2 linked regions of the Ovis aries genome follow. Each later gene encodes a partner of the first gene's protein in a complex. Links are inferred from orthologs where the notes say so. Each region holds a gene or a part of one and is shown in the gene's direction. Other genes may lie near its edges.

The links. The genes of interacting proteins can lie anywhere in the genome.
Region 2: the proteins of RPS6KA3 (region 1) and BMF are in contact, whole or in part, in a crystal structure (PDB 8R58), measured with the Homo sapiens proteins. The link is inferred for Ovis aries from reciprocal best matches to the Homo sapiens genes RPS6KA3 and BMF. Residues at the interface, in NP_004577.1 of Homo sapiens: Trp252, Phe259, Phe268, Leu281, Ala283, Lys284, Leu285, Gly286, Met287, Pro288, Leu299, Arg300, Phe303, Lys304, Arg305, Asn306, Asn309; in NP_001003940.1 of Homo sapiens: Glu8, Leu10, Glu11, Asp12, Asp13, Val14, Phe15, Gln16, Pro17.

What each region holds. Positions count from the first base shown.
Region 1 is NC_056080.1:18,623,394-18,629,619, reverse strand, and holds part of RPS6KA3 (ribosomal protein S6 kinase alpha-3), read left to right. Parts: intron 1-194; coding exon 195-356; intron 357-2,930; coding exon 2,931-3,007; intron 3,008-3,527; coding exon 3,528-3,645; intron 3,646-6,072; coding exon 6,073-6,213; intron 6,214-6,226. UniProt on the Homo sapiens protein: Serine/threonine-protein kinase that acts downstream of ERK (MAPK1/ERK2 and MAPK3/ERK1) signaling and mediates mitogenic and stress-induced activation of the transcription factors CREB1, ETV1/ER81 and NR4A1/NUR77, regulates translation through RPS6 and EIF4B phosphorylation, and mediates cellular proliferation, survival, and differentiation by modulating mTOR signaling and repressing pro-apoptotic function of BAD and DAPK1.
Region 2 is NC_056060.1:33,963,884-33,970,109, reverse strand, and holds part of BMF (bcl-2-modifying factor), read left to right. Parts: 5' UTR 1-715; coding exon 716-755; intron 756-927; coding exon 928-1,224; intron 1,225-2,729; coding exon 2,730-2,890; intron 2,891-3,089; coding exon of another isoform or gene 3,090-3,152; exon of another isoform or gene 3,153-3,248; intron 3,249-6,226. UniProt on the Homo sapiens protein: May play a role in apoptosis. Isoform 1 seems to be the main initiator.

The sequences.
Region 1 (6,226 bases):
GATAAATACTGTTCTTTCTTCCTCCTTTCCTTGCCACAGTTCTGTGTGAGAGAGTTATACTTACACTATTAGTATTTTATACTGTTGGAATAATGTGAAGGTCACTACCAATCATCTTGTTAAGTTTGTGATAAATAATTTTCCATAATGGAGACGTATTGTTAATGCAGCTCTTTAATTTGTATTTCAATTAGGTGGTTCACAGAGACTTGAAACCTAGCAACATTCTTTATGTGGATGAATCTGGCAATCCAGAATCTATTCGCATTTGTGATTTTGGCTTTGCTAAACAGCTAAGAGCAGAAAATGGTCTTCTCATGACTCCTTGTTATACGGCAAATTTTGTTGCACCAGAGGTAATTGTGAAAGAGTTTGCTTGCAATATTTCAGTATATTTAAAGACTCATTTGCTTTGTTTTGCCCATCTTCCCTGGTAGCTCAGATGATAAAGAGTCTGCCTGCAATGCAGGAGACCTGAGTTTGATCCCTGAGTCGGGAAGATCCCTTGGAGAAGGAGACAGCATCCCACTCCAGTATCCTTGCCTGGAAAATTCTTTCCTGATACTCTTCGAATTTCCTGATTTTTGTCACCATCTTCCTGTATTTCTAAAGCTAAAACATCATGGTCTTTTCTTGTCTTTAGCTTTGTAACCAGTTAGCATCTCTGTTATCCCCTACAACCAGTTTGGGCTTCTTCTGTTCACAGACCTGCCTTCCTAGCCCCTGCTTCCTTCACCACAGCCCCAGGTGACTGCCACAGCCTAGGTGCATGGCGTTCCCTTTTGTCATTGTCTGATCAGTCCACAAAGATGTTGCAAAGTTGCTGAAGTCTTCCTCAAGCACTGCTTTGATCAGGTTGCTGCTTTTCCTAAGAAATTGCAGTTCCCCATTATAGCATCTCTAAAATCCAATGTTTTGCCCTCAAAATTTCTTGGCTTTGGATTATCACTATGTAAAAAATTAAAACTAGAAGCAAGATAATAAAAAATAATAGTTAATCCTAATATAAGGCTTGCATGTCAGGCACATATGTTAACAGATTTCATCCTCTCAGCTTTAATTTGGGTATAATAATTTGTTCTCATTATAACTATGTGAGCTGAGTAATTTTATTTGCATTTTACAGGAAACAGGGTGCACAGTGAGGGGTGATGCCATTTGCCTGAGATCAGATCTAGATTTGAGCCCAAGAAACCCAGCTACAAAGTTTGTGCTTTACCATGTGCTAGATATTTCACAAAAATGATAATAGTTGATAACGTTAGACTAGTTGGATTATAGATTCAGATTCCCTTGTCCGTTCTCCAAACTTTACTTTTTAGATAGAAAAAAAATTTTTTTAAGTTTATTTGATTCAGTTCTCCCAGTGATACTAGAACTGATGAGGGACAGGTTTTTTCCTTTATTTGTTGACATATCCACAGCCTCTGACACAAACTGGTGTCCAAGCATGACCCCCTAATCCAGCCATCTCATTTTTCCTCAGGATTGTTTCCTACTTCATATAAGCAGTCTGCTTCTTGGAATCACCATGTAGCTTTTATGTCTTGGCACATTGGAATGTTTTTTTTTTTTGCTTCAGATCCTGCCTCTAAATTCACCTTCAGGAAATCTTCTATGATCAAACTGTCCTTAGACTGACCTCTTAACTCTTCCCAAAATCCTCCTCCTGTATTATTTCTCCACATTCAGTGGATCACCAGATCCTTTCCTTTCTGATTCCTAAATATTTTAGACCTTTTTTCCCTTACGCTGTATATCCAGTCTTTACTGAGTCCTTCCCATTTTATCTTTATGTCTTTTCCTCTTCATGTCCTGTTTTAGTACAGATCCTCACAGCCTTTCACTTAGTTTGCTACAAATTGCCTCCAATGAGGTGGCCTTGTGTCCATTCTCTCTTCTTGCCAGCATTTTCTCTATACCTTGAGTTATCTTTCTGGTATACACATCCACTTATTTTATTTTCCTCTTTAATGCTTCAATGACATCTGATTGCCTGCAGGGGGAAAAAAAACACCTAGATTCCTTAACAAGATGTTTATAAAAAGCTTTCCAAGGTATTTCCTGGTGGGCCAGTAGTTAGGACTTGGTGTTTTCACTGTTGGGGCCCAGGTTCGATCTCTGGTTGGGGAACTAAGATCCCAGAAGCCACGTGGTGTGGCCAAACAAATAATTTAAAAAACCTTTAAAAACCGCTTCAGTCTCTCTATAGAATCCCCTGTGTGGAAATCTGGCCACACTGAACTTACATGTCGCTAAGCAGGCTCTGCTCTCTTGCCCCTGCTCTCTCCCACGTCTTGATTTCGCCTCCTGAATTCTTCCTTATCGGCCCAATACAAGCAGGTTGCCTCCGAGCCTTCTTCCCTCTCTCCCCTATCAAGAGTGAATTGCTTCTTCATCTTTATACCCATATCCTTAAAACATATTTTTGTTAGAAAACTTATCATGTTGAATTAACTACATATATGTTTATTTCCTTTGCAAGATTCTGATTTTCTTAGAGAAAACAGTTGTTTTGTATTTGTCACAGTTTATGCCTGATAATAGTGATGATTAAATCTTGAGTATATATATAAAAGTACAATTTTGCCCTATACCATTTATACTGTTATATTTTCTTTGTTTTGTTAATTATTTCTGCAGCCCCTTACAAAATATAAATACATTTAAATGAGAAATTTACCTTCAGTTTATTTTTATAGTCCTCTGTGTGCCACAGCAGCGTTTGATAAATTAAGATGAATATCAGAATTTAAATTTATATAAAGTATTAGTAGAAGTTTCTAGAAGTAGTATTACTATATTGCCTTGTTTGTTAATCATGCTATTTTTCTTGTATGCATTGATTTAGGAGACATAATTTAGTTCACGCCTATCCAAATCTGTATAATAAAAAACAGTGTGTTGATACTAATTTTTACTTTTTCTAGGTTTTAAAACGACAAGGCTATGATGCTGCTTGTGACATATGGAGTCTTGGTGTCCTCCTCTACACAATGCTTACTGGGTGAGTGTGTACCGTATGTTGTAAGCATTTATTCATCGATAATTTTGGTTACATTATCTAGATTTATTTTTTAATCTCTTATAATACTTTCTTCCCATAGTTTCTCTTGTTGTTTAATAATACAATTCTGTGTGTATATGTGTGTATCACTGTTATACCTGTATTATTATTTTCTGTAATGTACTATTATTAAGTTCTTCAGGTTATGAGTTGATTTTTTTATATCATTTTTGTACTCTGTGTCATAAACATATACTATTTTAAATTTATTATTCTATAGTATGTCATGTCTTAATTATATTATTGTATATTAAATTTAAATTAATATTTCATAACCTATACCTTGACCTGGTACTTTATGAAGCTTCATATTGTTGTTAATTTTTACTTAAGTAGATTTTGATGAGGTGTAACATTAAATGAACTACTTAGAGTACTTTTGGATATTGCAAATAAATATGAAAATTACCAACCAAAAAAGAAACTTTATTCATTAGCATGTTATTCTGTTATAAATTAGTTACACTCCATTTGCAAATGGTCCTGATGATACACCAGAGGAAATACTGGCTCGAATAGGCAGTGGAAAATTCTCACTCAGTGGTGGCTACTGGAATTCTGTTTCAGACACAGCAAAGGTAAGTATGGCTTCCTATTAAAGCTTTTGAGAAAATAATTTTTCATAATCCCTAGTGAGAAAAAATATCAGTTAGAAACTTGTTGATAGAGCAGTATTGAAATGATGTTGCCAAATACCTCAGACTCAAAAATTGACCACTTATGTTGTTTCTTTTCCAGAATAGATTGGTTTGGCCTATCTATCTATCTGTCTATCTATCTATCTATCTATTTCATGGTACTTCTTACTAATGAACATGATGAATAATGCTTACGGTGGAATTGGCCGGGCAGCTTTGGGAAGCAGAAGGATGTAGTCCATCCCAGGCTCTCATGATGATCTGTGTGTTTCCTCTGTGCCTCACACTGCACTTCACCTAGATTATCCCCTTTAATCCTCCTAACAACACTGTAGAATAGCTAGTAGTGTCACCATTTCCCAGTAGGAAACCAAAGCCCAGAATTTTAGTGTGAACTTCTCCACAGCAGGCATGAGTAGGTGCTTCAAAAGAAACAGCCAATTCCAAAGTCCTTGTTCCCTAGAATAACTGTACTGTGTTCTGTTTTTGGTCCATATTATGAAGAAAGGGGTCTATCTTTTTCTCAATAAATAGTAGTTTAGCTTTATAGTGTCTACTTGAAATCCATTTGAAATGCCTTTCTTGCTAGCAGACTCGCCATCCCCTGAATAGCATTGATCTGCCTTCTAACTCTCCTCTAGTTTCACTTTCAGTTCATTTGAAGAAAATTCTGTTTGAAAAGAAGAGCAAAGTTTTCCATTTCAAAATAAGAAAAACATAGAGGAGATGAGGGAGATACTATTGGTAAAAAGTGCTCACTCCTTTTTCTTAGAGGTGGATGCTTGACTTGAAATGATTGCATTAGTAAATAGGATATGTCAGAAATTTCTGTAGATAATTTTGGCATCGATATGAAGCCTCAGTTGACTAGTTTAATATCTGTGTGGATAATATTTAGTATTATAACTGTATTTAAAATGATATGTTAGCTTTTCCCTTTGTTTAACAATAAAATTTCTTAAACCAGGTAATTCATTTTTCTTGGTACTTTTTGCTTTTTTAAAATTCATGTATTGAGCACCTGCATTGTGCTTAATAAGTGAAAGTGCCAGGGATAAAAGATGGGACTCAGATGGAATTCCTGATCTCAGAGAGCTCTCAGGCTAGTTGTGAGATGGCCAGAAATATACAGTTCAGTGTCACATGTGCTTTTACAGTGCTCTGCTTACTGTGCTAAAGAAGTTCACAGATGATGTTTGATCAGAAAGGTTTCATGGAAGGCTTTCCAGAAGCATTGAAGGGATTGGCCAGACAGCTTTGGGAAGCAGAAGGATGTAGTCCATCCCAGGCTGAGGGAGCAGCCCATGCGTGGTCATGATGGCATGGGAATGGCACAGTACCTCCAGGGTGGTGCACAGAGTTTGATGTGACCACTACAAGGTACATGTAACAGGGTCACTGATGAACCACAGTTATGAAAGGTTTTGTCAGTCATGCTCAGGATTTGGGATTTTCTCTAATTACTGGGGAGCTGCTGAAAAATACTAAGCATTGTAGTGGTCAGATTTTCCTTTTTCAAGGTCACTGTGGAGTAGTAATTTTTAACCATTGGGATCGACTGCAAACTTGGTCACAATTGGTTGTCAGGCGTATCAAGTAATGTTACCACAGAAAGTACCATAGTTTATACATTGCCTGGTTTTTTAATAAGTTAAAGCAAGTCTAGCTTATCTCTATGATTTTTATAATTTGGTTCTCATTCACTTGCATTTTATGATTTTTTTTGAGTGAAAGGCAGGTGAGGATGAGATACAAATAATGCAAAAAAAATTACATCTAGTGCACAGCCTATTTTATGAATGCCACATGATTACTAATAAGTTTTGCTAATTTTTCCAGTTAATACTTGTGATTATAAGTATAATGTAATATGCTGAATACCCACAAAATTGAGAAGTAGAAAAAAGTAAAAATAACTCTGTAATCTTTGGAGGGAGCATTTAGAACACTCCAATTAATTCCTGTTATTAGACAGTTGTATCCTGCTTTTCAGTTTTACCAGTAGTACAAAAAAAATCTTAAGTAGCTGAAAGTTACTTAGAAATAAACCAATGAAAATGTAGAGAAAATCAGAATATATGAGAGAAAAAAGAGCCAAAGTCCTTAAATATACATAAAATGTGGTAAATTTACCCTTTGCAATGCACCAGAATTATTGTTAACTCAGGGAGGAGAAAACAAAGACTTAAGTTTTTACTTTTTTTTTTTTTAAACATTGTCATATTGACCAAATTGCTTTGTACCCAAAGGTCTGCTACTCAGAAAGAATAGTGTCATGGAAACCAAGGAAGAATACTACACAGTATCAGGTGCTATAGGAAAACAAATAACAGGTTTAAGCTTGTTTTATTCTTTTTCCCACTACAGGACCTGGTGTCAAAGATGCTTCATGTGGACCCTCACCAGAGACTGACCGCTGCCCTTGTGCTCAGACATCCTTGGATTGTCCACTGGGACCAACTGCCGCAATACCAACTCAACAGACAGGATGCACCACATCTGGTCAAGGTGAGCAGCCCAC
Region 2 (6,226 bases), on another chromosome or scaffold:
CAAGTGAGGTCACAGAGAGAGGGCTGAATTTCACTTCCTTCTATGAGGCAGGTTGTACCCATCTCAGGTTCGGTGCTGGCAGGAATGGTAGGCTGTGGGGAAGGATTTGAAGTTGTGGAGATTAGTGACTCCACACTGAGCTGGGGAACTCTGGGCACTTTGCTGCATGCCGTACCTCTCCTCTCGGCTAAGCTGTGGTAGACAGATAGCTCCAGTCTGCTGAGAGGGCAGCTGCAATGACTAACTTGGGTTTTTCTCCCCCTCTCTCTCCCAGGACACACTCTTACCACATCGTTGAGCCTGTTTGTTGTGTTGAGCAAGCAGCGGGTGGAGACTAGAGTCTTGGGCGGGGCTTAGCAGGTTTGGAGGGAACCTGGCCGGGCTAGGATCGCTGGCTTTTGTTTTTGCTGCCCAGCCTGGAGCTCTGCTCAGACTGAGATGAGAACTTGATGGTTACTCCTCAGGCCAGCAAGGGGGTCTGTGTGTGGTGAGCACTGTGGGTACAGCCAGTCACAGCACCCTCTGCCCTCCCACAGCCACTCACAGAGGCTAGTCTTGTTGACATTTCTCCAGGTACCCTCCGTACTTGTAGCAGCTGACCATACCCCTGCTATGGCTATGAGTCAGTAGCAGTCCAACTATGTGACTGTGACCAGCCTGGGTCAGAAGAGGATGCTGAGGGGAAGGTGGCTCCAAGTGGGCGCAGGGAAGAAACATGGAGAATCCTGGAACTGCAAGGCAGCCCACATTTGGGGGTGGGTTGTCACCCTTGGCAATGCTTTATCTGTAGGATTGACTGTCATCAGTGCCTGAGCCCACTTCTCCACAAAAGAAGGGGGAGCAGGAAAGAAGGAAAGGGAGGGAAGTCCTTCCAGGTAGAGCCTGGGTGGGGGCAGCCTCCCGGATGCCTGCATTGCACCCTCACAGGGGAGATGGAGCCACCCCAGTGTGTGGAGGAGCTGGAGGATGACGTATTCCAGCCAGAGGATGGGGAGCCAGGGGCCCAGCCCAGGAGGTTGCTCTCTGCTGACCTGTTTGCCCAGAGCCAGCTGGACTGCCCCCTCAGCCGTCTGCAGCTCTTCCCTCTCACGCACTGCTGTGGCCCTGGGCTTCGACCCACCAGCCAGGAAGACAAGGCTACCCAGACTCTCAGCCCAGCTTCCCCGAGCCAGGGTGTCATGCTGCCTTGTGGGGTGACTGAGGAGCCCCAGCGACTCTTTTATGGTGAGTGCTCTTAGCCTTAGGACTCCTCCCTTAGAGATGGGGGAAAAGAGGGGACTTTCCCTCCCCAAACCTGCTCTTTGCTATTTCCTTCCCCAAATTGAGCAGCAGGGGCTATTGATCCCTCAACTCTTCACCTGCTGACTCTCTGCTCATATACTGCTTCTTGTCTGTGCTCCTCAGGCCACAAGCAGGACAGATTGCCTTGCCATTCTTTTCTGCTCATTTGTCCCTTTCTGGAGGGATCCTTGGGTCCATGGTATCTCCTTGGGTTGGAAGAAGGGTACCTGGGTCTTGGCTTTTACATATTATGGCCTGTTGACTGGCCCAGGCTTTTGTGTCGTAATAGTGATGTACCTTCCGTAAAGTGGCTAGTGTTGCCCTGGAGAAGGCTGGGGGATCTGTGACTCGCTGTTGACACTGAAGGGGAAAACCCAGCTTGTTCTGGGAGAGAAGTTTCCTGGAGGCAGAAGGTTCCCCGCCCCAGTTGTCACTTGGGACTTTCTGTGTTTGGAAGGGGAACTGGAGAAAGAGGTTGGGCCTGCCTAGGCTCATTGCCAACAAAGGGGCTGTTTCCAAGGCTCAGTCAGATAAGACCCTTTCATTTGTGGGCTTCAGTGGTTGGTTTTATTAGCAATTTGCCCTCCTCTGGCAAAAGGGCAAGGTTAGATAGCCAGTGTTCTTCATTTAGCACAAAGCTTATGGAGGGAAGGGTGGTTCAGAGGCTATCTTGCTGGGTCCAATGGAGCGGATTGAGGAGACGCTGCAGTTATTCCCAGAAGGAGCTGCACTGTAGGACAATTCAGGCAAAGTTCTGGCAGGAATCTGAGAAGATGGATAAGGCAGGCGGGCAGGAAGGAGGGAAAGACGGGAGCAAGCGGGCGCCCCTAGCGGCAGCTCGGTGACCAGCACTTGGTCAGTGAGGAGAGCAGGTCTAGATGTCTGGCCTGGGGCTGGCTGCAGAGAGGAACTTGGCTACTCTGTGGTTCAGAGGAGTCTTCTCTCCCTATGTTTCTGTGCCACTGCCCAGAGCTTCAGGGCCTGAAACCAGCCTTTCTCTGCTACACCAAAAAGTGAGGTTACTTTCTGATTTTCATTCTCTGTCCCTTGCTTTGCTCAACTGAGGATCTCTGGAGAGCTGCCTCCAATGTTTTTCTAGAGAAGAGCTTCAGCCTGCTACTACTGTATGAATAATGAATAATAAATTGTGGTCAAGCGTAGCTGTGTAAATAAGGACAGAAGGTTGGCAAGTTCAGCCACACTTATTACCTTTGCCATGGCGCTGCCAGTGAAGGGAGGAAAGCCTGGCATCAGCTTTCATACTCTTGGTCAGCAGGCAAGTCAGGCTGTCCACATTTGGCAGAGTGCCCTGAGAAAGACAGGCTCAGTTCCTCTCCTTCCCATACTAGAGTCTACCCTTGACCCCGGGTCTTGACCAGGGGTGGCAGGCATGGGGAAGATGGGGCAGTGGTGGAGCTTGCTGAGATGTGGGCCCTCTGTCTTTGCAGGCAATGCTGGCTACCGGCTCCCCCTTCCTGCCAGTTTCCCTGCAGGCTTGCCCCTTGGTGACCAACCCCCTGAAGGGCAGTGGCAACATCGAGCAGAGATACAGATTGCCCGAAAACTCCAGTGCATTGCAGACCAGTTCCATCGGCTTCATATGCAGCAAGTAGGCACTGGGGCTTGGTGGGGGGAGGTGGTGTGCATCTGCTGGGTCTGTGGGGCTGGGGCCTGCCTCAGCAACTCTGTCTCTGCCAGGACCCACGTTACCGTGATTCTCTTGAACTGGAAATCGAGAATGGGCCTGGCTGGATGAGTGCTTTTGCTCTCACCTATGAGATCCAAGTTGTTTATCTGCCTGCTTTCAGCTCAGGCCCCTGGGAAATGCTCCGATCTCTTCTGGAGAATGGCATAGCTTCTTGCAGCCTTGATTGACACACTGTATCTTATTGAGTTCATCAGTGGGAGATGGTCCCTTGCAGACCTAAGGGGAAGATTTTCATGGTGCTGAGGAAAACTGGACAGTCGGAGGTACCTGGCTGTGGTGCAGTGGGAAATGGGTAACCGAGGCCTGGACGGGTCTGAGTTGGGAAAAGTGGTGGAACCGGTTGTAACCCGACACTTTCCAGCTGGGGAGGCCGCTCCTCATTGTCTCTGTCTGGAAACCAGGGCCAGGACTCTGGAGACTGTGTACCTCACAGTCTCTCCAGACCAGCGACCGGGTGCTCAGCGGGCAGCCTGGCACCAGCCCGCCAGGGCGGAGCATCGCGTGTCACTGGAGCTTGTGGCAGAGCCCATCAACAAAGGCGGCGGCTGGCGGGCTCGTGTGGAGGAGCCCTCTGTGCCTTGGGCTGGAGGCTGCCTGGCTCTGCAGCGGCAGTCTGGCCCAGCCCCTGGGCACTTAACTCTTCCTCCCTGGGCTGACTTTCTGGATGGCTGCCAAGGCGGGGAGAGGAGCCTGAGGCTGGATCCCTGCTAGTACAACCACCACTGAAGCAAAGTCATGCCACCTGGAAATGAACACATTCCCTGCCTCTGAGACAGTGTCCTTGCCTAGTCGGCTGTGTGTGTGTGTATATGCGTGTCTATATATGACTGTATATTAGGAAATCAAGAGAATAATTAATCCACCACGATTGGGCAGACCCTGAGGTTAGGTGGGGAAATTCAGGTGACCGGAGGAGAGCTATTGATAATAGGTTTGGTTTGAGGACCAAAATATGGCCAGCACCTGGCGGGAGGTGGGGTGGGGAGACAGAAATTGAGTTTAAGTTTCCTGAGATCCAGACAGAAGGGGTTATTCTCTGCCAAGGGGTTCTGAGGGAAATGTGGGGTTAGACCTGGTCCTGGTGGGTCCCCCAGTCCCTCAGGAAGAGAGGGTGGCCCTATGCTTAGATAAGGCAGCCTGGCTGTCTCCTCTGGCTCCAAGTTCCAGCCCCTATTCCCTCCTTTGATAGCTCTGTGGAAACTTGGCTTAGGGTTTTCCCTTCAGTCCACTCTGGTTCTTGATTTCTGCCTCTTGGCCTTCTTCCTACCCATTCATTTTACGCTGGTTGTGTAGGCCTGTGGTTGGCCTGAGCTCGCAGCTCCTAGCCCCAGTGCTGTAGCTGATGGAGAACACAGTGGCTCTGGGTCTCCTGGACTCAGCTGGGGGACTACCTGGAAGGCAGTTTTCTGCATTCGCATTAGACCTGATCTCTCTCGACAGCTGTTTCCCAGAATGTTCCACCATCCACTGGTGAGCCCTTCTAGGCTTGGGAGCAGGCTAGGAGGCCTCCTCTGCCCAGTCGAGCCCTGGCACAGGACTAGAACTCAGCCCAGGGCCATTTCTTCCCAACTCAGTCCCTCACAGGAGAAGCTGGCCCTGATCCCAAGGTCTGACCCTGCCCTTTGCTGTTTGGCATCACTGACCCCAGTGCAGAGCTGTCTCTTCGAGGGCCTGGTTCAGCTTGGGAGCAGGAGGGGCAGAGCCACAGAGTGGGAGGAGAACTAGAGGAGAGTCTCCCCAGCTCTGCACCTCCTCCGCTGCTGGCTCCTGACTTCCCTGTGCCCCTCACCATCTTGCCAGCTACCTTCTCCTACCGTGCAGTGGCAGGAGGCCGGCCAATGAGGCCGAGAGCTGGATTTCCCAAATTTTCCATCTCAAAGAGCCAGGCTTTTTGTCCATGGGAGTCTTACTTTTATCGCCCTCCTCCCCACTCACCCTGCTCACTTCGCTGGGAGCCCATCCTGTGGGAAGGACTGGGATCATGGCCATGGGCAGATGGAGTGCTGGCATGTGTAGGGCCTTTTAGCAGCTAGTTTTAAGAAGTGAGTCATTTTCTGAACTTGATTACAATATAAACTAACGTCTAGATATTTCATATCCACACAAAACTGTCGTCACTCTTACATTCTTATCCTTCATCTTCTTTCCCTATTCCTTCCCTTCATCTCTGCAAGCAGGACACTGAGGCACAGGGGTAGAAGTAATTTAGGGTTAAGTCTTGAGGCTTCAGATACAAAGTCTGAAGGCCCAGGTTTGAATGCCAGCTCTGCCATCTACCAGCTACTGGGAAGACACTTGATCTGGCAGAGCCTATTTCCTCTTCTGTAAATTAGACCTAATGTCACAGAATTTGATCATGAAGATTCAGTGAGAAAACACTTATCTGAGTTCCAGGCACACAGTAGGTATTCTTTAATGCTTGTTTCCTTTGTCTCTATAATCCTGATCATCCCCCACATTTGTTCTTGTCAGTTCACAGTGCATCTTCCAGCCCACCTGTCCAGCTAGTCCCTAAGCAGAGCTGCCTCCTGTGGGCTCCCTTCTACCTGCTCTGTTCAGAGAAATTGGCTTCCAAGCTATTCACTTATGGGCCTTGTCCTTGTACATTTCTCCTGGGGGAATGATGATCAGTCTCCATCACTGTGGGTTGAGTTTAGATAACCAGGAAAGACAACTCAAGACACAGTAAGAAGGTTGAAGGGGCCTGGCCATCTCCTTTCTTCTCAGGTCTGGGATGGTGTCCCAGGGCCAGACAATGGCCATGGGTCCCTGAATCCTGTAGGGAAGGTGAAGCTTCTGCCTTTTGTCCCTGGTTAGGGATCTCAGCTATTCTTTTTTTTTTTGGCCACATCAGGCTTGTGGGATCTTAGTTCCCTAACCAGGGATTGAACTCATGCCCTCAGCAGTGAAAGCATGGAGTCTTAATCACTGGACTGTCAGTCATTTCCAGTTATTGTTTTTCTATATGAGGGGAAGCCCCAGGAGATGTGGAGCACAGGGAAGGGTGTGATGATGGTAGTGCCTTATAGGATGGCATTATGGCAAAGTGAGTATGTCAGCATGACCCTAAAGGCAACATGCTCCAAACTCCCCCTGGTGCTGCTTATTGTGGGCTGTAAACCCTCCCAGCATGTTTCTCGAGGAGCTTGCTAGATGGAGGTCTAGACTGGCTACCCAAGTGATCTCTCCCGGATGGCTTCTCTGGACCAATGGGCAAGGATTGGAGACAAGCTGTGC